Anolis sagrei: one gene and its partners. The protein of the gene in region 1 interacts with the protein of each later gene in a pairwise test. Links are inferred from orthologs where the notes say so. Each region holds a gene or a part of one and is shown on either strand. Other genes may lie near its edges. The genes, in order: LMNA, BNIP3L and VAMP4.

Region 1 (8,530 bases):
ATGTTTGCCTCATGACAAGTCCGCTGAGACAATGCAAGACAGAACAGCCCGATATAGGTCTATATATATATATATCTAGATTGTGTGTCCTGGCAGGGCCCGCTGGCATTTGGGAGAGGCTGGCAGGGAGGGTCCTGCCACATGGCTTCCCGGCCACACCCTGAAAGGGCTGCCAAAATGGAGATGGAGGGAAAGGAAGCCTGGTTTCTCCGCAAGGTGCTGGGAAGGGGCCCCCAAAGGGCATCTAGTCCGACTCCATTGCAAAAAGTGCAGCAAAGGAGGGGAAGGGGTTCAACGGCCCTGCCTTGCTTCCTTCCCAGAAAGGGATCTCTGGCCTTCCTGGGAAGAATCCAAGGTTCCCCCAGCAAACTTAATAGGATTCCACCCCCCTCCATGTAATCATCATCATCATCATCATCACTATAATATAATTGACTGGTTGCTGATGACTCAATAAATAAATATCATTACTACGACTCTATATATCATTATATAGTATTGTTTTCTTTGCAACCTTTTTTCTCTGGAAGGAGACTAAAAGTGGCTATGCATATATTACTATTACTTGATTATTATATACCCCTTTCTCCACAATTTATTTCATTATTGATTATCATTTTATTCTATATTTATATTCACTCATTATTTTTATTTATTAGGTGATTATCTGTCACATTATAAATAACTAATAGTTTTATAATTGTTGGGTGGCTGTGAGGTGTAGGCCTTCCCTCCCTCCCTCCCTCCCTCCTTCCAGGTGTTTTGGACTCCAATTCCCAGCATTCCTGGCAGCCTCAGGCCCTTTCCTTTTTCCCCCCAAGGCATGCTGGGAGTTGGAGTCCCACTCTCCTGAGGGGAGGCCTCTGACCTGGCCTTGAGCTTCTTGTGCTCCTCGCAGGAGGAAGGAAAGAAGGAGGGAAGGAGAGAAGGAAGGAAAGGAGGGAGAGAAAGAGGGAAAGAAGAAGGGAAAGAAGGAGTGAAGGAGGGAAAGAAGGAAAGAAAGAAGGGTAGAGAAGGAAGAAGGTGGAAGAAAAGGAGGAAGGAGAGAAGGAGAGAAGGAAGGAAAGAAAGAAGGATAGAGAAGGAAGGAAGGAGAGAAGGGGGAGAGAAAGAGGGAAAGAAGAAAGGAAGGAGAGAAGGAAAGAAAGAAAGGTAGAGAAGGAGGGAAGGAGAGAAAGAAGGGTAGAGAAGGAAGGAGGGAAGGAGAGAAGGAAGGAAAGAAAGAAGGGTAGAGAAGGAAGGAAGGAGAGAAGGAGGGAGAGAAAGAAGGGAAAGAAGGAGGGAAGGAGAGGTGGAATGAAAGAGAGAGAGAGCAAAGGAAGGAAGGAAGAAAGGAAGGAAAGAGACGAGGAAGGATGGAACGAAAGAGCAAAGGAAGAAACTGGTAGAGAAAGACGAGGAAGGGAAAGAACAGGGAGGGAGGGAGGGAGGGAGGGAAGGAAGGAAGGAAGGAAGGAGAGAAAGAGGGAGGCAAGGTTGGCCACAGCAATGAGTGGCAGGGTAGGGCTAGTATAATATAAATAGCTTGTAATTCATATAATATAAGTATCTTCCCGATGAGGCCTAACAATAATAAATAGCATAACAATTCATAATTTATAATAAGATTCTAGGGCTGGCCTGCCTCCTTTGAGATCCACTTGGGGGGGCCTTCTTCCCTTGAGGGGGTTTGGGACTCCAACTCCCATCATTCCTGGCACCCTGGTGCCCTTTCCTTCCCCCCTCCCCCAAGGCATGTTGGGAGTTGGAGTGTCAAGCCAGTCAAGGGGAGGCCTGGCAATATGATTCTAGGGCTGGCCTGCCCCCTTTGACTCCAACTCCCATCATTCCTGGCACCCTGGCATCCTTTCCCCCTGAGGCCTGCTGGGAGTTGTAGTCCCCTGGCGAGAGGGTGTGTGTGGGGACCCCCGGGCCTTCTTCCCTTGAGGTGTTTTGGACTCCAATTCCCATCATCCCTGGCCTCCTTTCCCCTTTCCCCCTGAGGCCTGCTGGGAGTGGTAGTCCCACTCTCCTGAGGGGAGGGGGAAGGCCTGGCAAGGGGGCCTTCTTCCCTTGAGGTGTTGGGGACTCCAATTCCCATCATTCCTGGCATCCTGGCGCCCTTTCCTTTCCCCCCAAGGCATGCTGGGAGTTGTAGTCCCAAGCCATTCAAGGGGAGGCCTGGCAATATGATTCTAGGACTGGCCTCCCTCCTTCCTTTGAGATCCACTTGGGGGGGGCCTTCTTCCCTTGAGGTGTTGGGGACTCCAACTCCCATCATTCCTGGCACCCTGGCATCCTTTCCCCTTTCCCCCTGAGGCATGCTGGGAGTGGTAGTCCCAAGCAGGTCAAGGGGAGGCCTGGCAATATGATTCTAGGGCTGGCCTTCTTCCTTTGAGATCTACTTGGGGGGGGGGGAGCTTCTGACTCCAATTCCCATCATTCCTGGCACCCTGGGGCCCTTTCCTTTTCCCCTGAGGCATGCTGGGAGTTGTAGTCCCACTCTCCTGAGGGGGGGGAGGCCTGGCAAGGGGGCCTTCCCTTGAGGTGTTTTGGACTCCAATTCCCATCATCCCTGGCACCCTGGGGCCCTTTCCTTTCGCCCCTGAGGGGGGGGGCAGGCCTGGCAAGGGGGCCTTCTTCCCTTGAGGTGTTTGGGACTCCATTTCCCATCATTCCTGGCACCCTTTCCCCCTGAGGCCTGCTGGGAGTTGTAGTGTGGACACCCCCTGAGGGACGGACTGACCTGGCCTTGAGCTCCTTGTGCTCCTCGCGGGTCTTGGCGAGCTCGAGCTGGAGCCTGGCCCGCTCCTTGGCGACGGAGTCGAGGGTCTTTCGTGCGTCGGCCAGCTCGGCCTCGTAGGCGCCCTTGAGCCCGCTGACCTCGCGGCTGACCTCCTCCTCGGACTCGCAGATCCGGAGCCGCAGCCCCGCGTTCTCCGACTCCAGAGAGCGGACCTTGTCGATGTACACCGCCAGACGGTCGTTCAGCTCCTGCAGGTCCTCCTTCTCCTGCAGCCGCGTGATCCGAGCCGGGGACAGAGGGGTCCCCATGGAGGAAGAAGACGAGGAGGCCGAGGCCCCGGCTCCAGTGCTCCGCGTGCCGCGCTTCCCGCCCACCGAGGACTCCATCCTGACAGGAATGCCGCGGCTGAGGAGAGCAGCACGCCTTAAATAGCCTCGCCCACCCCCAGGCCACGCCCCCTCCTCACTCACTCCCTCCCACAACAAGGCCGCGCCTGCGCACAACACACGCCTCGCCTCAAGGCTCTCTATCCCAAATAGATTCGCCTCCCTGGCCACGCCCCCTCCTCTTCGCCACGCCCCCTCCTCTCTCCCTCCCTCTCTCCCACAACAAGGCAAGGCCGCGCCTGCGCACAACGCATGCCTCGCCTCAAGACTCTCTATCCCAGAGACTCCCTCCCTGGACACGCCCCCTCCTCTTCGCCACGCCCCCTCTCGGCCCACAACAAGGCCGCGCCTGCGCACAACGCACGCCTCGCCTCAAAGCTCAATATAAGACTCTCTCTCTCTCTCTCTCCCGCCTCCCTGGACACGCCCCCTCCCCTTCGCCACGCCCCCTGCTTCCTCCCTCCCTCAACAAGGCCGCGCCTGCGCACAACGCACGCCTCGCCTCAAGACTCCAGGCTCCATTTCTCCCAAAGAGACTCCCTCTCTGGACACGCCCCCTCTTCTTCGCCACGCCCCCTGCTTCCTCACTCCCTCCCACAACAAGGCCGCGCCTGCGCACAACGCACGCCTCGCCTCAAGACTCAATATAAGACTCTCTCTCTCCCGCCTCCCTGGACACGCCCCCTCCCCTTCGCCACGCCCCCTCCTCCCTCCCACAACAAGGCCGCGCCTGCGCACAAAATACACCTCGCCTTGCCTTAAGACTCAAGGCTCTCTATCTATCCCAAAAGGGACTCCCTCCCTGGACACGCCCCCTTCTCTTCGCCACGCCCCCTGATTCCTCCCTCCCACCCTCCCACAACAAGGCCGCGCCTGCGCACAACGCACGCCTCGCCTCAAGACTCCAGGCTCTCAATTTCTCCCAAAGAGACTCCCTCTCTGGACACGCCCCCTCCTCCTCGCCACGCCCCCTTCTCCCTCCCACAGCAAGGCCGCGCCTGCGCACAACACACGCCTCGCCTCAAGGCTCAATATAAGACTCTCTCTCTGGGCCAAATAGACTCGCCTCCCTGGACACGCCCCCTCCTTCTCGCCACGCCCCCTCCTCCCTCCCACCCTCCCACAATAAGGCCGCGCCTGCGCACAACGCACGCCTCGCCTCAAGACTCCAGGCTCTCCATCTCCCCCAAATAGACACGCCTTCCTGGCCACGCCCCCTGCTTCTTGCCACGCCCCCTGCTTCCTCCCTCCCGCTCACAGCAAGGCCGCGCCTGCGCACAACATACACCTCGCCCTGCCTTGGAGTCAAGACTCTCTACCTCTCCCAGGCCTGGGCCAACTTGGGCCCTCCCTCCCTCCCTCCCTCCCTCCCTCCTTCCCCGTGTTCTGGACTTCAACTCCCACCATTCCCAGCAGCCTACCGGGTTGGGACCCAGCTGCATTAAAATCACGACTGAGTTCAAAGCCAGCCCAGGTTGGAGTAAGCTCCCGACCATTGGTCTAGCTTGCTGTCCACCTTTGCAGCCCCAAAGACAGTTGCCTCTGTCAAGTAGGAAATTTAGGTACTGCTTATGCAGGGAGGCTAATTGAACTAATTTTCTTGTTGTTCATTTGATCAGTTGTTGCAACTGTCAAGTAGGAAATTTAGGCTAATTTAACTAATTTATAATGCCCTAAAACTCTCCAGCAACATGCAAAGGAATGAGGAAGTACTCCATCAGTGTCACAAGTGGATGTTGAAGTGACAGCTCCCCTTTGAAGCCCAAAAGACAGTTGCCTCTGTCAAGTAGGAAATTTAGGTACCACTTATGCGGGGAGGCTAATTGAACTAATTGATAAATATTTTTTTTGTTGTTGTTTATTCGTTCAGTCGTTTCCAACTCTTTGTGACCTCAGGGACCAGCCAACATCAGAGTGCCCCGTCGGCCGTCACCTCCCCCAGCTCCTTCAAGGTCAATCCAGTCAATCTAGGAATTGTGGGAGTTGGAGTCCACAACACCAGGCCTGCTCTCTCCACATCCCTCCACCCATCTCTCTAGGCATTGTCCAGTGATCATAAACACCACCATAAGGAAACACTCTACATTGTGGTGCAGTTTGGAAGAGGATGGACCATGGACGATGGGACTTGCAGTACCTTCACTGCCTGAGACCATTACAGCCCACACCAATGACTGATCAAGACTAAACTGGACGCACAGAGCCTCCATGACCCACTCTACATCCTGGTGAAGTTTGGAGGAGGATGGATCATGGACGATGGGATTTGCAGTACCTTCACTCATTTCCTGAGACCACTATGACCACCAGGAATGATGGATCAAGAGCAAACTTGGCACACAGAGTCCCCATGACCCACTCTACATACTGGTGCAGTTTGGAGGAGGATGACCATGGATGATGGGACTTGCAGTACCTTCACTGCCTGAGACTATTACAGCCCACACCAATGACTGATCAAGACCAAACTTGTCAGCCCCCGTGACCCAATCTACATCCTGGTGCAGTTTGGAGGAGGATGGATCATGGACGATGGGACTTGCAGTACCTTCACTCACTTCCTGAGACCACTGCAACCCACACCAATGACGGATCACGACGAAACTTGGAACACAGAGCCCCCGTGACCCATTCCACATCTTGGTGCACTTTAGAGGAGGATGACCATGGATGATGGGACTTGCATATGGGAGTTGTAGTTCACCAGCACCCACTGTGCATCCTTGTGCATCAATCTGCCCATGTTTATGTACCTCACTCTCTGTCATCTTGATGCCAAGGGCACCCCAGCCCCCTGCTTTCAAGCTCATCTGACCAGCCGCAGGGGGTTCCGCAGTTCCTTGGATGCTCCATTGGGCAAGCGCTGATGAAATATGCCCCAGCAGCAGCCTAAACCAGTGACTCTTTGCAACCTTGAGCTCTCTCCTTTCGTTTCTTTCCCCTGCCCAAACATTGTAACTAAACCCTTAATAAAGACTAATTGAATTGTAACCTTCACCTCTTCGTAGTGATACATTGTGTCCCATTCCTGACTCACAAGTATGTAATGCATGAATTCAACCTTTTCCGGGGTGTGGGAAGCCACTGGCCCGCCTGGGATGCCTTCTAGGCATCCCAAGGAAGCCGAAACTGCGTTTCTTCAAACCGCGGATACGGATACACCTCGGGACCCCGTATCCGCGAGTTGACGGATTGACTCACCGCCTGGGATGCCTTCCAGGCGTCCCAGGGAGGGCGAAACTGCGTTTCTTCAAACCGCGGATACGAAAACCCCTCGGGGCCCCGTATCCGTGGGTGGACGGATCGACTCTCCAACGTAGCGATCCCCTGCCCAAACATTGTAACTAAACCCTTAATAAAGACTCACTGAATTGTAACCTTCACCTCTTTGTAGTGATACATTGTGTCCCATTCCTGACTCACCAGTATGTAATGCATGAATTCAACCTTTTCCGGGGCACGGGAAGCCGCTGGCCTGCCTGGGATGCCGAAACTGCGTTCCTTCAAACCGCGGATACGGAAACTCCTCGGGCCCCCATATCCGCGAGTTGACGGATTGACTCGCCAAAGTAGCAATCCCTCTTTGGTGGGGCCGCAGGGTCTCTCCTCTGACTAGACCCTTTCAAATTCCCTATCGACTTCAATCTATCTGTCTGTTCATCCACTTACCTACCTACCCATTCATCCCTCCATCTATCTATCTATCTATCTATCTATCTATCACACAAGGAATCTCAAAAGTACTGTATAGGAACGAGAACTAGGAAGACACTGGGGAAGACAAGAGCCAGGCGCAGGCCGGAGACCCCACCCGACACTCTTTGACTGTTTAATGGGTTGCTGTGGGTTTCCGGGCCCTGTTCCAGTGTCCGTCTTTCCTGACGTTTTGCCTGCACCTGTGGCTACGGACCCCCTCAGAGGATTCTTCAGAGCGCCTTGGAGAGCCCAGTGCCGGGCTGTTTCCCATTTGCAAACGAGAGGCTTCCCAGGAGACCAAACAGGCCTCAAGCTGGACGCAGGGAGGAAAACCCAGACCGGTTTCCCGGCAGTGAGTCACTCCCGTCGCCACGGCAACAGAGGCACACATACATGCCACACGCACATATACACACAGACAGCTTTTTTACAGGAGCCAGTAATCTAATATCTGGCCCGCATCACGGCAGGAATGAGTCACGGCTGGATGGGGAGGGAGAGCGGAGGCCAGTCTCTTCCCCTCTTTCTCTCAAGGGGGGGGGGAAGCCCCCAGGCGGCGGGGGAATCCGGCTCAGGAGCCCAGAACACATTTGGGGGAGCTCCCCCCCCCATAACGCCTTGGGGGCCTGCCTGGGAGGGAAGACCTTCAGGACCGGCAGGCTGGGGATCAACACCCAGGGTCTCTCTCTCTATCATCTATCTTTCCATCTGTCCGTCATATCTCTGGCCATCAATCTACGGCTGGGTGGCCATCTGTTGAGAGGAGTTTGATGGTGTCTTCCTTGATGGCAGAAGGGGGTCGGACTGGATGGCCCTTGGGGATCCCTTCCAACTCTAGCATTCTAGAATTGATCTTTCTCTCTCTCAATCATCTCTCTCCCTCTCCACATGTCAGTCATCTCCATGGCTGGATGGCCATCTGTCAGGAGGGGTTTGATGGTGTCATCCTTGATGGCAGAAGGGGGCTGGGCTGGATGACTCTGGAGGGTCCCTTCCAATTCGATGATCTCTCTTTCTCTCTTAATCATCTATCCCTTTCTCCATCTGTCAGTCATATCTCTGGCCATCAATCTATGGCTAGGTGGCCATCTGTTGAGAGGAGTTTGATGATGTCTTTCTTGATGGCAGAAAGGGGCCGGACTGGATGGCCCTTGGGGATCCCTTCCAACTCCAGCATTCCATGATATACTCTCTCTCTCTCTCTCTCTCAATCATCTATCTCTTTCTCCATCTGTCAGCCATATCTCTGGCCATCAATCTACAGCTGAGTGGCCATCTGTTGGGAGGGATTAGACAGTGTCTTGATGGCAGAAGGGGGTTCCTTCCAACTCCAGCATTCTAGAATAGATCTCTCTCTCTCTCTCTCTCTCTCTCTCTCTCTCTCAATCATCTGTCTCCCTCTCCACCTGTCACTCATCTCCATGTCTGGATGGCCATCTGTTGAGAGGAGTTTGATGGTGTCTTCCTTGATGGCAGAAGCGGGTTGGACTGGATGGCCCTTGGGGATCCCTTCCAACTCCAGCATTCCATGATAGCTTCTCCCCCCCCCCCTCAATCATCTATTTTTCCATCTGTCAGTCATATATCTGGCCATCAATCTACGGCTGGGTGGCTATCTGTTGGGAGGGATTAGATGGTGTCTCCCTTGATGGTAGAAGGGGGTTGGACTGGATGGCCCTGGAGGGTCCCTTCCAACTCTAACATTCTATGATCTCTCTCTCTC
Region 2 (8,138 bases), on another chromosome or scaffold:
GAAACATGGCCGCCCTGAGTCCCATTTTTGGGGAGAAGGGCGGGGTAGAAATGAAATAAATAAATTACTGAGATTGAACTCTGAGCATGGGAGGGGTATCTTCGGGGATGACAGGCACTCCTTCCAAGAATGGATAAGAGGGTGTTGTCTCCCTGAGAAACACCTGTAACCGTTTCCTTTGTATGTCATTACGACTTTTCAGGAAAGACCGGAACAACTTGTTGATCGCCTTTTTTGAAACGACAGAGATTGAGTGGGAAGTTTTGCTTGGATTAGTTTATCAAGGAGCGAATGTTCAATACCGGCACAAATTATTATGGGTTGTTGTAGGTTTTTCCGGGCTATATGGCCATGTTCTGGAGGCAATTTTTCTCCTGACGTTTCACCTGCATCTATGGCAAGCATCCTCAGAGGTAGTGAGGTTTGTTGGAAGCAGGAAAAATGGGTTTATATATCTGTGGAATGACCAGGGTGGGACAAAGGACTTTTGTCTGCTGGAGATAAAAAGGTAAAGGTAGTCCCCTGACATTAAGTCCAGTCATGTCTGACTCTGGGGTGTGGTGCTCATCTCCATTTCTAAGCCGAAGAGCCAGCGTTGTCCGTAGACACCTCCAAGGTCATGTGGCCATTGGCATGACTGCATGGAGCGCCGTTACCTTCCCGCCGGAGCGGTACCTATTGATCTACTCACATTTGCATGTTTTCGAACTGCTAGGTTGGCAGAAGCTAGGGCTGACAGTGGAAGCTCACGCCGCTCCCCGGAATCGAACCTGCGACCTTTCGATCAACAAGCTCAGCAGCTCAGTGCTTTAACCCACTGCTCCACCGGGGGCTGCTGGGGACAGGTGTGAATATTTCAGCTGATCACTTTGATTAGCATTCAATGGCTTGGAAGTGCCCGGGGGGAATCCCTTGTTGAGAGTGATTTTATGTGCCTGTTTGTTTCCCCTCTGTTGTTTTGCTGTTGTGATTTTTGAGTCCTTTAATACTGGTAGCCAGATTTTGTTCATTTTCATGGTCTCTTCCTTTCTGTTGAAATTGTCCACATGCTTGTGGATTTCAATGGCTTCTCTGTGTAGTCTGACATGGTGGTTGTGAGAGTGGGCCAGCATTTCTGTGTTCTCAAATAATATGCTGTGTCCAGGTTGGTTCATCAGGTGCTCTGCTATGGCTGATTTCTCTGGTTGGAGTAGTTTGCAGTGCCTTTCATGTTCCTTGATGCATGTCTGGGCGCTGCGTTTGGTGGTCCCTATGTAGATGTGTCTACAGCTGCATGGTATACGGTAGACTCCTGCAGAGGTGAGAGGATCCCTCTTGTCCTTTGCTGAACGTAGCATTTGTTGGATTTTCTTGGTGGGTCTGTAGATGGTTTGTATGTTGTGTTTCCCCATCAGCTTCCCTCTGCGGTCAGTGGTTCCCTTGATGTATGGCAGGAACACTTTTCCTCTGGGTGGATCTTCATCTTGACTTACAAAACTAAAGTTCTGGTGGTGAAAATTTCAGAACTGTAACGAAACTTTCAAAATTTAATTATTATTTCATTATTGGTGATTTGCTTGGTTCCCTTGCAGCTCTTCTGATGTCTGAGGTGGAGTCTCCATTGGCCTGGAGAGCCACTTTTTGCACAGTCTGCCAAGGCTTTAATTGTGCTTCTTTTTTGACTTGGGTGATGGTTGGCTTTTTTTTTGACTACACAGAGAAGCCATTGAAATCCACAAGCATGTGGACAATTTCAGCAGAAAGGAAGAAACCATGAAAATCAACAAAATCTGGCTACCAGTATTAAAGGACTCAAAAATCACAACAGCAAAACAACAGAGGGGAAACAAACAGGCACATGAAATCACTCTCAACAAGGGATTCTCCCCGGGCACTTCCAAGCCATTGAATGTTAATCAAGGTGATCAGCTGAAACATTCACATCTAGCCCCAGCAAACAAAAGTCCTTTGTCCCACCCTGGTTATTCCACAGATATATAAACCCATTTTTCCTACTTCCAACAGACCTCACTACCTCTGAGGATCCTTGCCATAGATACAGGCGAAACGTCAGGAGAAAAACTGCCTCCAGAACATGGCCATATAGCCCGGAAAAACCTACAACAACCCAGTGATTCTGGCCATGAAAGCCTTCGACAATACAAATTATTATATTTATTATTATTATTATTATTATTATTATTACTATTATTCAGACTGTAAAGCAGGCCTGGGTCAACTTTACAACTAACACTGAGGCCTACCTCACACTGAGGCCATTCTCTACTGTATTAAATATTACTATATAAATAATATAATATTATTATAATGTACTATACCATTATATAGTAATATTATGAGTAATATCACATGTAATATAATATATAATTACATTGTTATTAGTATAAATACAATATATTAGCATAGTACAAAATCAGTATTACTATTACTATATAAATAATATAATATTATATTGTACTACACCATTATATTATAATACTAGCGGTCCTCTGCCACGCGTTGCTGTGGCCTTGTCTGGTGATATCCAAATAAAGTAATGAGAAAGTGTTGGTTTCTAATATATGTAATGTCTTTATGCTTGTGGGATTTCTTGATGTTTCTTTGACAGTGTTGACCTAGAAATTGTCTGGTTTGCCTACTCTGGAACATGCATCATATAATTGTCCATCTTTAGGAGTCCCTTTCAAATCTATAATACTTTATCTGTGTGTGTGTGAATCATATATATCTATTGATACCTATGGCTGGATGGCTCTCTGTTAGGAGGGCTTTGATTACGTTTTCTTGCCCTGGTGAAGGGAGTTGGACTGGATGGCCTTAAGTATTTTCTGTTGGTCATGGGGTTCTGTGTGGGAAGTTTGCCCCAATTCTGTCATTTGTATTTTTGTTGCTATCATTCAGAATAGTCTTTGATTGTAGGTGAACTATAAATCCCAGTAACTACAAGTCCCAAATGCCAAGGTCTATTTCCTCCAAATTCCATCTGTGTTCGTATTTGGTCATATGGAATATTCATGCCAAGTTTGGTCCAGATCCATCATTGTTTGAGTCCACAGTGCTCTCTGGATGTAGGTGAACTACAACTCTCAAACTCAAGGCCAATGCCCACCAAACACTGCTAGTATTTTCTGTTGTTCAGGGGAATCCTGTGTGCCAAGTTTGGTTCAATTCCATCGTTGGTGGAGTTCAGAATGCTCTTTGATTGTAGGTGAACTATAAATCCCAGCAACTACAACTCCCAAATGACAAAATCATAATTTTTTGAGTGATGGTCACTCCTTGTGTAGTGAGATGTTTTGTTGCCAAATTTGGTGTGATTTCGTTCATTGGTTCTTTTGTTTTTAAGGTACTCATTATGAACAGAGCATTTATATATATATATAGATATATAGATTACATAACTATATATACATGTATATATACATACAATATATTATTAGCATAGGACAATATCAGTATTAAATATTACTATATACATCTAATTAAATATTACTATATTATTAATATAATATTATATTGTACTGTACCATTATATTGTTATATCATGAGTAATATTACATGTAATATAAATATATAATTATATTGTTATTAGTATAAATACAATATATTGTATTAGCATAGTACAACATCAGTATTAAATATTTAAAAAGGTAAAGGTAAAGGTAAAGGTAGTCCCCTGACATTAAGTCCAGTTATGTCTGACTCTGGGGTGTGGTGCTCATCTCCATTTCTAAGCCGAAGAGCCAGCGTTGTCCGTAGACACCTCCAAGGTCATGTGGCCGGCATGACTGCATGGAGCGCCGTATTAAATATTACTATATATATATTTAAATATTACTATATTAATAATGTAATATTATATTGTACTATACCATTATATTGTAATACTATGAGTAATATTACATGACATATAAATATATAATTATTAAGCTTGGGCAATCCATGCTTCTAAATGGTTCTAAAGTACTTACAAAACTAAAGTTCTGGTGATGAAATGACATCTCCTGGGAAGACAAGCGGACAAACGTCAGCGTGCTGGAAGAAGCAAAGACCACCAGCATTGAAGCGATGGTCCTCCGCCATCAACTCCGCTGGGCCGGCCATGTTGTCCGGATGCCCGACCACCGCCTCCCAAAGCAGTTGGTCTACTCCGAACTCAAGAATGGAAAATGGAATGTCGGCGGGCAGGAAAAGAGATTGAAAGACGGGCTCAAAGCCAACCTCAAAAACTCTGGCATAGACACTGAGAACTGGGAAGCCCTGGCCCTTGAGCGTTCCAGCTGGAGGACAGCTGTGACCAGCAGTGCTGCAGAATTCGAAAAGGCACGAGTGGAGGGTGAAAGAGAGAAACGTGCCAGGAGGAAGGCGCATCAAGCCAACCCCGACCAGGACCGCCTTCCACCTTGAAACCAACGCCCTCACTGTGGGAGATGTGGGTCAAGAAGAGGGCTCCACAGCCACCTACAAACCCACAAAAATAGTCATCAAGGAAGACCATCTTACTCGTCCAACGAGGGATCGCCTAAGTAAGTAAGTAAGGTGGTGAAAATTTCAGAACTCTAACAAAACTCTCAAAATTTCATAATAAATGGCAGTTCCTAATTGGTTCTGCCATTAAAATCACCAATAATGAAATAATAATTACATTTTGAGAGTTTTGTTAGAGTTCTGAAATTTTCACCACCAGAACTTTAGTTTTGTAAGTACTTTGGAACCATTTAGAACCATGGATTGCCCAAGCCTAAGAATTATATTGTTATTAGTATTATACTGCATTGCATTATAATATTAGGCTTCAGGAGAGCAGTCAGGGCGTGGGCTTATTTGGGTGCCTTGATCGCTTGCCTTCTCTGCAAGGAGCCGCCTACACTCTTGCGCCTGCGCACTGAAGGCTCAGTCCTCTGGCCACACCCCCTCTCCGCGGACGTGAGAAGCGTCAGGGAGGAAAAGCGGAAAAGGGGGGCGTGATCTCCCGGGCGCATGCGCGCTGGCTTAAAAAAGGCAGGCGCATGCGCAGCACACGCCCCGTGTTGTTTGGTGTTGTTGTCCCCCTCTCTCTCTCGCCAACCCAGACGGAAGGAGAGTCCCGCGCCGGCCGCCATGTCGTCCTCCCCTCCTCAGGAGTCGCCTCACAACAACAACAACCCCCCGCCGGGGGAAGGGGAAGCGACGCCAGCCGAGGCCGGGCTCAACAGTGAGTAGGAGCGGGTGGGCGAAGGGGAAAGTCAGGGCAAGCCCAGGGGAAGGCGAGGGGTCGCCTCCCCGCCTGAGGGAACCTTCCTCTCGGCCTGGATTGGCTGGGCCTGTCAAAGATAACCTGAATCGAACAGGAAGAATACCCCTTGGGTCTAGCAGCAGTCCTTTTGGGATGACTTACTTACTTAGGCGATCCCTCCTTGGACGAGTAAGATGGTCCTCCTTGATGACTATTTTTGTGGGTTTGTAGGTGGCTTTTTTTTTTTAATCGTGTCATCAGCAACCATTGTATTACAATTCTAACAGAGCAAAACAAACACAGAGATTAAAAAGAAAAAAAAAGAAAGAAAAAAAACCACACAGATTTTGCAAATTTGGTAGTTGACTAAATGTTCTTTGACCAGTATCTGGCCCCTTGGAGTGCCTCTGGTGTTGCCTCAAGAAGGTCCTCCATTGTGCATGTGGCAGGGCTCAGGTTGCATTGCAGCAGGTGGTCAGTGGTTTGCTCCTCTCCCCACTCGCATGTCGAGGATTCCGCTTTGTAGCCCCATTTCTGAAGGTTGGCTCTGCATCTTGTGGTGCCCGAGCGCAGTCTGTTCAGCGCCTTCCAAGTTGCCCAGTCTTCTGTGTGCCCAGGGGGGAGTCTCTCGTCTGGTATCACCCATGAATTGAAGTGCTGGGTTTGGGCCTGCCACTTTTGGACTCTCGCTTGCTGGGGTGTTCCAGCGAGTATCTCTATAGATCTAAGAAAACTGTGTCTTGATTTAAGTCGTTGACGTGCTGGCTGATACCCAAACAGGGGATGAGCTGGAGATGTCTCTGCCTTGGTCCTTTCACTATTGGCTGCTACTTCCCGGCGGATGTCAGGTGGTGCAGTACCAGCTAGGCAGTGTAATTTCTCCAGTGGTGTGGGTCGCAGACACCCTGTGATAATCGGCATGTCTCATTAAGAGCCACATCTACTGTTTTAGTGTGGTGAGATGTGTTCCACACTGGGCATGCATACTCAGCAGCAGAGTAGCATAGCGCAAGGGCAGATGTCTTCACTGTGTCTGGTTGTGATCCCCAGGTTGTGGCAGTCAGCTTTCGTATGATGTTGTTTCTAGCGCCCACTTTTTGTTTGATGTTCAGGCAGTGCTTCTTGTAGGTCAGAGCACGGTCCAAAGTGACTCTCAGGTATTTGGGTGCGCTGCAATGCTCCAGTGGGATTCCTTCCCAGGTGATCCTCAGAGCTTGACTGTTCTTAAGGTGAAAGGCGCATGTCTGTGTTTTAGATGGATTAGGGATCAGTTGGTTTTCCCTGTAATAGGCAGTAAGAGCTGTGGAGCCCTATTCTTGACCCGCATCTTCTCCCACAGTGAAGGCATTGGTTTCCAGGTGGTCGGGGTTGGCTTGACGCGCCTTCCTCCTGGCACGTTTCTCTCTTTCACCCTCCATCCGTGCCTCTTCAAATTCTGCAGCACTGCTGGTCACAGCTGACCTCCAGTTGGAGTGCTCAAGGGCCAGGGCTTCCCAGTTCTCAGTGCCTATGCCAGAGTTTTTAAGGTTGGCTTTGAGCCCATCTTTCAATCTCTTTTCCTGCCCTCCAACATTCCGTTTTCCGTTCTTGAGTTCGGAGTGGAGCAACTGCTTTGAGAGACGGTGGTCGGGCATCCAGACAACGTGGCCGGTCCAGCGGAGTTTATAGCAGAGGACCATCGCTTCAGTGCTGGTGGTCTTTCCTTCTTCCAGCACACTGATGTTTGTCCGCTTGTCTTCCCAAGAGATTTGCAGGATTTTCCAGAGGCAGCGCTGATGGAATCGTTCCAGGAGTTGCATGTGACGCCTGTAGACAGTCCACGTTTCGCAGGAATAGAGCGGGGTTGGGAGGACAATACAGTGAGGGCATTCGTTTCCAGGTGGAAGGCGGTCGGGGTTGGCTTGATGCGCCTTCCTCTTGGCACGTTTCTTTCTTTCTCCCTCCATTCGTGCCTCTTCAAATTCTGCAGCACTGCTGGTCACAGCTGACCTCCAGCTGGAGCGCTCAAGGGCCAGTGCTTCCCAGTTCTCAGTGTCTATGCCAGAGATTTTAAGGTTGGCTTTGAGCCCATCTTTCAATCTCTTTTCCTGTCCTCCAACATTCCGTTTTCCATTCTTGAGTTCGGAGTAGAGCAACTGCTTTGGGAGACGGTGGTCGGGCATCCGGACAACGTGGCCGGTCCAGCAGAGTTGATGGCGGAGGACCATCGCTTCAATGCTGGTGGTCTTTGCTTCTTCCAGCATGCTGATGTTTGTCCACCTGTCTTCCCAAGAGATTTGCAGGACCAGATCTTCGGGGCAGTGCAGTGAGGCAAAATGGTGTCCTGAGATGGTTTTTAAGCAACTTTTAATGTGAACATAAGTGATTTTAATGCTTGCATATATTTATGGTTTTATACAATCATAGAATCAAAGAGTTGGAAGAGACCTCATGGGCCATCCAGTCCAACCCCATTCTGCCAAGAAGCAGGAATATTGCATTCAAATCACCCCTGATAGATGGCCATCCAGCCTCTCTTTAAAAGCTTCCAAAGAAGGAGCCTCCACCACGCTCCGGGGCAGAGAGTTCCACTGCTGAACGGCTCTCAGGAAGTTCTTCCTCATGTTCAGGTGGAATCTTCTTTCTTGTAGTTTGAAGCCATTGTTCCGCATCCTAATCTCCCGGGAAGCAGAAAACAAGCTTGCTCCTTCCTCCCTGTGACTTCCTCTCACATATTTATACATGGCTATCATATCTCCTCTCAGCCTTCTTTTCTTCGGGCTAAACATGCCCAGCTCCTTAAGCCACTCCTCATAGGGCTTGTTCTCCAGACCCTTGATCATTTTAGTCGCCCTCCTCTGGACACATTCCAGGTTAGAGTCAATATCTCTCTTGAATTGTGGTGCCCAGAATTGGACACAATATTCCAGGTGTGGTCTAACCA
Region 3 (7,785 bases), on another chromosome or scaffold:
TCAAAATATCCCATAGAAAAAAATCACAAGGGGCCAAATCTGGAGAGTGGGCCGGCCACTCCAAATCTGCTCGAAAAATTGGCCTCAACAGCAAAAGCACAATCATCACTGTTCCAATGCATTATGGCGACTGAACTGTCAGGACAAAACTTTATACTCCTGCCTCTCAAACGAGACCACTAGCGCTCCGCTACGTCTTCAACCGACTGAATGGCGCGCATTTTAAAAAAGGAAGTTATGTTGCCTCACCCTGTATTTCAAAATGGAGGCGCTCTTTTCAACTGGGAGTGAATTCCTGACCTGAGAATAGCAGAGGAGCATACATGTAATAAGACAAATTTCATTGCGCCGGGGGGGGGGGGGGGGGGAGAAACGAAAGGTGAGGAAGATGAATTACAAGCTCTTGTCTCTTATGATTCTAAAATAAACACAAAAGTTTGCATTTTGAGCCCAAAGGGTGTGGAATGGCTGTTGAGGATTCCTGTTGATCCCCAAGTGAGTTTAACCTGGGTTAACCCAGAACAGCCCTGTGTGGCATTTATCCACCATGGGGTTGATTGCACCTCAAACTGACCTAAGTCGTTAGTGTAGATATGCCCAAAGAAGTATCAAAGCCCAGTAAAGTAAAAGACAAAGATCCTCTAGTTGCCAGACCTCCTTTGTCCAATTTTAATCCTGCTTTTCATATGATTGCTACAATAGTAAGAACAAGAGTGATGATTTAGCAATGAGTGTTTTGTTAACGCTACTCAGCAGAAATTAATTAATTAATTAATTAGCTGTATTTATATTCCGCCCTTCTCACCACGCAGGGGGCTCAGAGCCGATTACAATGTATGCATATATGGCAAACATTCAATGCCAAAGACACACAACAGATATAGACAGACAGTCAGAGGCTATTTAACTTTTTCTGGCCGCCAGGGGAACTGTCGCTTTCATCTTCCATCTGCGACACTGATGAAGTACTTCCATATTCCCCGCATGCTTGCTGGAGTCTTTTTATGGCCTCATAAATTAGTTAAATTAGCCTCCCCACACAAAGGTGGTACCTAATTTTCCTACTTGACAGATGCAACTGTCTTTTGGGTTGCAAAGGTCGACAACAAGGTACATAATTGGTTGGAAACTCACTCCGACCCAGGCTGGCTTCGAACTTATGACCTTTTGGTCAGAAGTGATCTTAATGCAGCTGACACTCAGCCAGCTGCGCCACAGTCCCGGAACTGAGAGTTCCATGGAAAGTTACCAATTCCTTTAAAAATAATGTTACAATCTCTGATTATAGTTACTTTCTCTATGGCTAATGTCATGTGACCCAAGTTTATTGCTGCTGTCATAAAACAGCTCTGTATGTTGATGGCATTTTAATCTTCCTTAAAAATCCTGAAATGTCCCCTTCTCAATTTTGAAACAGGCCATGAATCACATAGACATATATTCAGGCATCCAAAGTAATTACTGTACCTGAATGTTCCACCTCCATAATAAAAATGCTGGCAATTCCTCACTAACGTACCATTTCATCCCATTTGGAGTTTCCAAGTCATGGCATAACAATTATTATTCTTATTATGAAAGGCAGATCTGAATGGACTCCATGTTCAATTTTATATTGCCACTACCTTTAATCCTACGTCTTGTCTTTCAATTGTTAGATGTGTAATGTAATTTTTGTAATGTCATTATTCAAATTTTATAGCAATGTCTTTATTATTACAGCATTGCATCTTTGCTGTTATTTGTTGGAAACCCCCCCCCCCCCGAGTCTGAGATAGGGCGGGTGTAAACAAAAGTAGGGCAAACACTTCTGTCGCGAGGCAGGATGGATCTTGTTTTTCTTATCTCACCTCTGCCTCCAATTATAAACTTATAATAATAATATGAGGAGCCCAAGATAGAGATGATGCGTGTTGCTGAGACTTTGTTTATATATATATATATATATATATATATATATATATATATATATATAAATAAATAAAAAGTGGGGTTTATATGAGAGAGATGACTTCTAGGACACCTGTTTGTGTCACTTTAATATGTGTATCCCAGTGCCATAAAACTGTCTTCGGTTCCACAAGATCTCATCTTCTCTTTCCTGGAGAAACTTCTCTTTAATAAGTAGTCACAAACACTCAGTATTTTGAACTGATCAGAAACAACATTTATTTAAAGGTTTCTCAGGTTCACATAAGCTTGACGGTTTTTTAAAAAACTGTTTTTTAACTGTTGGTTCTTCGGAGAACATGAAACTGTTACTATTAAATTTTTAACAATGGCTTATCTTCTCTCTCCTTAATGTTTGTTATTTCTTTTCTTTGAAACTTAGTTTCTTTTCTCAGTCCCACTTTTATTGCTTCAGGCTTGACACTGAAGTCATAAATAAAACTACCTGGAATCCCTTTCTTCTAGCAACCCAGCTAGATTATACTACAGACTTAAATATTTCTACCCTTACTTACTCAACACTGAAGATTAAACACTTGGCTCACTACCTGTAGCCACCTATTCCTTCTGACTACCTGTCAGAGACTTAAACTACTTGGTCTAGCTCCACACAACTACAACCAACCATCCTTTGGTTCATCTGGGCACCAACTGACTCTTTTCAAGTTGTGTTCTTTCAAACAGTGGCAGTTAGCTCCGCCGCTTTCTCTTCTGCCTTGAGGACTATGTCGCTATGGCAATGCCTTAGCTCAGGCTACCCATCAGCTGCACCTATATCATAATATCAATAAACATATGTAAAACCTCCATTTTTAATTAGACATTTCATTACAGCGGGATATAAATAAAGTCGAAGGCTTTCATGGCCAGAATCACTGGATTGTTGTAGGTTTTTTCGGGCTATATGGCCATGTTCTAGAGGCATTCTCTCCTGATATTTCGCCTGCATCTATGGCAAGCATCTTCAGAGATAGTGAAGTCTGTTGGAAGTAGGAAAATAGGTTTATATATCTGAGGAATGACCAGGGTGGGACAAAGAACTCTTGTCTGTTGGAGCTTGGTGTGAATGTTTCAACTGACTACCTTGATTAGAATTTGATGGCCTGGCAGTATTAAAAAAACTCTAAAATTACAACAGCAAAACAACAGAGAGGAAACAATCAGGCACACCTAATCACCTCTCAACAAAAGATTACCCCAGGCACTAACAAGCCACACCAAACAACTGCCAGACCATCAAAAGTGAAGCTACCTATCCGACCGCATCTCTGCCTATGAACCCACCAGGACTTTGAGATCTTCCGGGGAGGCCCTGCTCTCGATCCCGCCTGCTTCTCAATCACGGCTGGCGGGGACGAGAGATAGGGCCTTCTCGGTAGTGGCTCCTCGGCTATGGAACGCCCTTCCTACGGACATTAGACTAGCACCATCTCTAATGGTATTCCGCAAAAAAGTGAAGACCTGGCTGTTTGAGCAGGCGTTCGAATAATTAGTGCAATGATTGGTTAATGAACACTGGAATGGAACAATGGATGACGAATCTGGAACATGTTTTTGATTATGAGACGACAGTGAATGGGTATTGTAGTAACTGTTTATTAATTGTGTAATGTGTTAGATTGTTAACTGTTTTTATACTGTAGCACTGAATTTTTGCTGTTCGTATTTGTTGTGAACCGCTGTGAGTCGCCTTTGGGCTGAGAACAGCGGTATATAAGTAAGGTAGGTAAATAAATAAATAAATATAAACCCCTTTTTCCCAGCTCCAGCAGACCTCACCTCTGAGGATGCCTGCCATAGATGCAGGCGAAATGTTAGGAGAAATGCCTCTAGAACATGGCCATATAGCCCGAAAAAATCCACAAGAATTGAGAAATAAATAAATGCTAATCAAGGTGGTGAGTTGAAACATTCACACCTAGCTCCAACTAACAAGAGTCCTTTGTCCCACCTTGGTCACTCCACAGATATATAAACCCTTTTTCCTAGGTCCAACAGACCTCACTACCTCTGAGGATGCTTGCCATAGATGCAGGCGAAACGTCAGGAGAGAATGCCTCTAGACCATGGCCATATAGCCCGAAATAACCTACAACAACCCAAAGTTTACTATTGTTATGATACGTCCTGTGCATAAACTAAAAATATAAGGTGATAATATCCAGCCTTTATCTGAATGAACATCCTGTTGATTGGAGCCTATTCTGTTTTGCCATACTATGCCCTGATAGTGGCTACTTTGTTCAGAGCCTGATTTACACATCAAAGTAATCAAATGTTGTGGTACTCCCATTTGTTTTAGAACAGCCCAAAGGTTTGCATGGTTTCCCTCGTTTTCTCCAGCTCAATGTGATGAAGTCCTTACTTTGCTTCAGGGCGAAAAGCCTTCGCAGGACGATACTCCCAGGCGGAGAGTCAGAGGTGGAGCGAGAGGGCCCACCGTGGCCTGCTTTGGGGCGACTCCAAGCGCTTGCCCCAGGCTTCTCCGGCACGAGGCCTCGCAGAGAGGCCGCGGGGTCACAGAAACGCCCTTTAAAGCTCCCAACGCTTTCCCGCCTTTCTTGGGAAAGGAAAGACTCCGTCGCGCGCGCCCCCCTCCAGGCAAAGCGCGAGGAACCGGAAGTCGCGCGAGCAGGGCTTCTAGGGACGCTTTCGGCAACTGAGAGAGCCGCTGACGTCACCCCGTCTCCTCAGTCATTTCCGTGCCGGTCCGGAACAGGAAGTCAGTGAAGAAGAGCGGGGTTTTCTGGGAAGAAGCCTATGCGCTCCTGAGAGGCCTGGCTCCGTCGTATGTGTGAGGGGATGGAAGTCGTCGGATAAGGTGAGGAACAAGGGTGAGGGAGAGGGAGGCAGAAGGCCGGGGTGGCCAACGAGGGAGAGCTCCCCCCGAAGGCGGGCCTGTGGGAAGGGGGCGTCGGGTGAGAGGAAGCCCTCCCACACAGACATACTGCAAGCGACTGTGGGACCCTTGGCCAATGGAGGGCTGGCCCTTTGGAAGGGCGAGGGAGGCTCAGGGCGGTTTCCAAAGGCAGCCATAGGAACAAAAGAGACAAACAAGCAGTTAAAACGCACAGTTACAAATAAAAAACAATAAACCATGTAATCGAGCGACCCCGTAAATAACACCACAGGCTGATGATGATGATAATAATAATAATAATAATAAAACTTTATTTGTATCATCTCCCCAAGGGACTTGGTGCGGCCAAGCCCACGATACATCAATAAACAAAACATCAATAAAACAATCAAAACAATTCATATTTTTTATTTGTCGTGTCAGGGCAACCAGTCAATTATTATTTATTTATTTATTTATTTATTTATTTGCTTCACTTTTATACCGCATATTTCAGCCCTTGACGGGCGACTCAATGCGGTTTACAGTGCACTTAAAAACACAGCAATACAACAACCGGGACGACAATGTTGCTCCACAACAATTAACATCAGACAGACAAATCTACAAACAACATATATAGCGCCTCCGTTAAAGTCAGATCCATTCTCATAGTCATTGTGCCGTTCCTATGTTCAGTTACCGTCTTCCTTAGTTAGTTGCATTGCCTAGCCAAACGCTTGTTCGTAAAGCCAGGTCTTGACCATTCTCCGAAACGCCAGCAACGAAGGTGCCTGTCTGATGTCTGTTGGTAAGGCATTCCATAGCCGAGGGGCCACCACTGAGAAGGCCCTGTCTCTCGTCCCCGCCAAGCGCGCCTGTGACGCAGGCGGGATCGAGAGCAGGGCCTCCCCAGACGATCTCAATGTTCTAGTCGGTTCGTAGGCGGAAATGCGTTCGGAGAGGTAAGCGGGGCCAGAACCGTTTAGGGCTTTATAGGCCAAGGCCAGCACCTTGAATTGAGCCCGGTAGCGGATTGGCAGCCAGTGGAGCTGGCTCAGCAGAGGAGTGGTGTGCTCCCTGAGTGCCGCTCCTGTTAGCAACCTGGCTGCCGAGCGCTGGACCATCTGAAGCTTCCGGGCCGTTTTCAAGGGCAACCCCACGTAGAGCGCGTTGCAGTAATCAATCCGGGATGTGACCAGAGCGTGGACCACCATGGCCAAGTCCGACTTCCCAAGGTACGGGCGCAGCTGGCGCACAAGTTTGAGTTGTGCAAATGCTCCCCTGGACCCGAGACCTGGGGTTCCAAGCTTAGCGAGGAGTCCAGGATCACACCCAAGCTGCGAACCTGCGTCTTCAGGGGGAGTGTAACCCCGTCCAACACAGGCTGTAACCCTATACCCTGTTCGGCCTTCCGACTGACCAGGAGTGCCTCTGTCTTATCTGGATTCAATTTCAATTTGTTCACCCTCATCCAGTCCGATACAGCGGCCAAGCAACGGTTCAGGACCTGAACAGCCTCCTTAGTAGTAGGTGGGAAGGAGTGACAGAGTTGGACGTCATCTGCGTACAGATAACACCGCACTCCGAAACTCCGGATGATCTCTCCCAACGGCTTCATGTAGATGTTAAATAACATGGGGGACAATATTGAGCCCTGCGGAACCCCACAAGTCAATGGTTGTGGGGTAGAGCAATTGTCCCCCAGCAACACCTTCTGAGTACGATCCTCTAGGAAGGACCTGAGCCACTGCAGAGCAGTGCCACCAAGGCCCATTCCCGCAAGGCGTCTCAGAAGGATACCGTGGTCGACGGTATCGAAGGCCGCTGAGAGGTCCAGCAGAACTAACAGGGACACACTCCCCCTGTCTAGCTCCCTGCGCAGATCATCCACCAAGGCGACCAAGGCTGTCTCGGTACCATGTCCCGGCCTGAAACCAGACTGTGCCGGATCTAGATAATCAGTGTCTACCAAGAATGCCTGGAGTTTACATTTACATTACATTTCTAACAGTACAAAGCAAAGAAACAGTCAAAATACAAAATTTGTGAGTTTGGTAGTTGGTTAAATGTCCTTTGACCAGTATCTGGCCACTGGGAGTGCTTCTGGTGTTGCCGCAAGAAGGTCCTCCATTGTGCATGTGGCAGGGCTCAGGTTGCATTGCAGCAGGTGGTCAGTAGTTTGCTCCTCTCCGCACTCGCATGTCAAGGATTCCACTTTGTAGCCCCATTTCTGAAGGTTGGCTCTGCATCTCGTGGTGCCAGAGCGCAGTCCGTTCAGCGCCTTCCAAGTCGCCCAGTCCTCATTTGGTATCAGCCATTGGTTGAGGTTCTGGGTTTGAGCCTGCCACTTTTGGACTCTCGCTTGCTGAGGTGCTCCAGCGAGTGTCTCTGTAGATCTTAGAAAACTATTTCTAGATTTAAGTCGTTGACATGCTGGCTGATACTCAAACAGGGGATGAGCTGGAGATGTCTCTGCCTTGGTCCTTTCACTATTGGCTGCTACTTCCCGGCGGATGTCAGGTGGTGCAATACCAGCTAGGCAGTGTAATTTCTCCAGTGGTGTAGGGCGCAGACACCCTGTGATAATGCAGCATGTCTCATTAAGAGCCACATCTACTGTTTTAGTGTGGTGAGATGTGTTCCACATTGGGCATGCGTACTCAGCAGCAGAGTAGCACAGTGCAAGGGCCAATGGACAGACCAAATGTAATAAATTAAAATTAAAAAATAATACTGATGTGAACAAGGTAGGATATAACTGGGATAGGATTTTCAGAGAGAAATGAGGGAACACGTCAGTCCTAAATCAGTGGTAAAGTGCATTTTGAGGGCATATTACTGAGAGTTTTCCTTATTCTGGGAAGGCACATCTGTATACAATAACTTGGCTATCCAGTATGTTAAGGAAATATGATCATCATCGTCAGACAAGATACAAACAAAAAAGAGCTAATAATCTTCCTCTCCAAAGGCTAATGTGCAAATGTATGTTT

Evidence for each region.
Region 2: the proteins of LMNA (region 1) and BNIP3L interact in a two-hybrid assay, tested with the Homo sapiens proteins (2 studies listed by BioGRID and IntAct). The link is inferred for Anolis sagrei from reciprocal best matches to the Homo sapiens genes LMNA and BNIP3L.
Region 3: the proteins of LMNA (region 1) and VAMP4 interact in a two-hybrid assay, tested with the Homo sapiens proteins (2 studies listed by BioGRID and IntAct, with this or other methods). The link is inferred for Anolis sagrei from reciprocal best matches to the Homo sapiens genes LMNA and VAMP4.

Annotation. Positions count from the first base shown.
Region 1 is NC_090032.1:22,671,470-22,679,999, reverse strand, and holds the start of LMNA (lamin), read right to left. Parts: upstream 3,142-8,530; 5' UTR 3,112-3,141; coding exon 2,726-3,111; intron 1-2,725.
Region 2 is NC_090027.1:6,901,092-6,909,229, forward strand, and holds the start of BNIP3L (BCL2/adenovirus E1B 19 kDa protein-interacting protein 3-like), read left to right. Parts: upstream 1-5,006; 5' UTR 5,007-5,100; coding exon 5,101-5,194; intron 5,195-8,138.
Region 3 is NC_090024.1:130,545,495-130,553,279, forward strand, and holds the start of VAMP4 (vesicle-associated membrane protein 4), read left to right. Parts: upstream 1-4,647; 5' UTR 4,648-4,771; intron 4,772-7,785. UniProt on the Homo sapiens protein: Involved in the pathway that functions to remove an inhibitor (probably synaptotagmin-4) of calcium-triggered exocytosis during the maturation of secretory granules.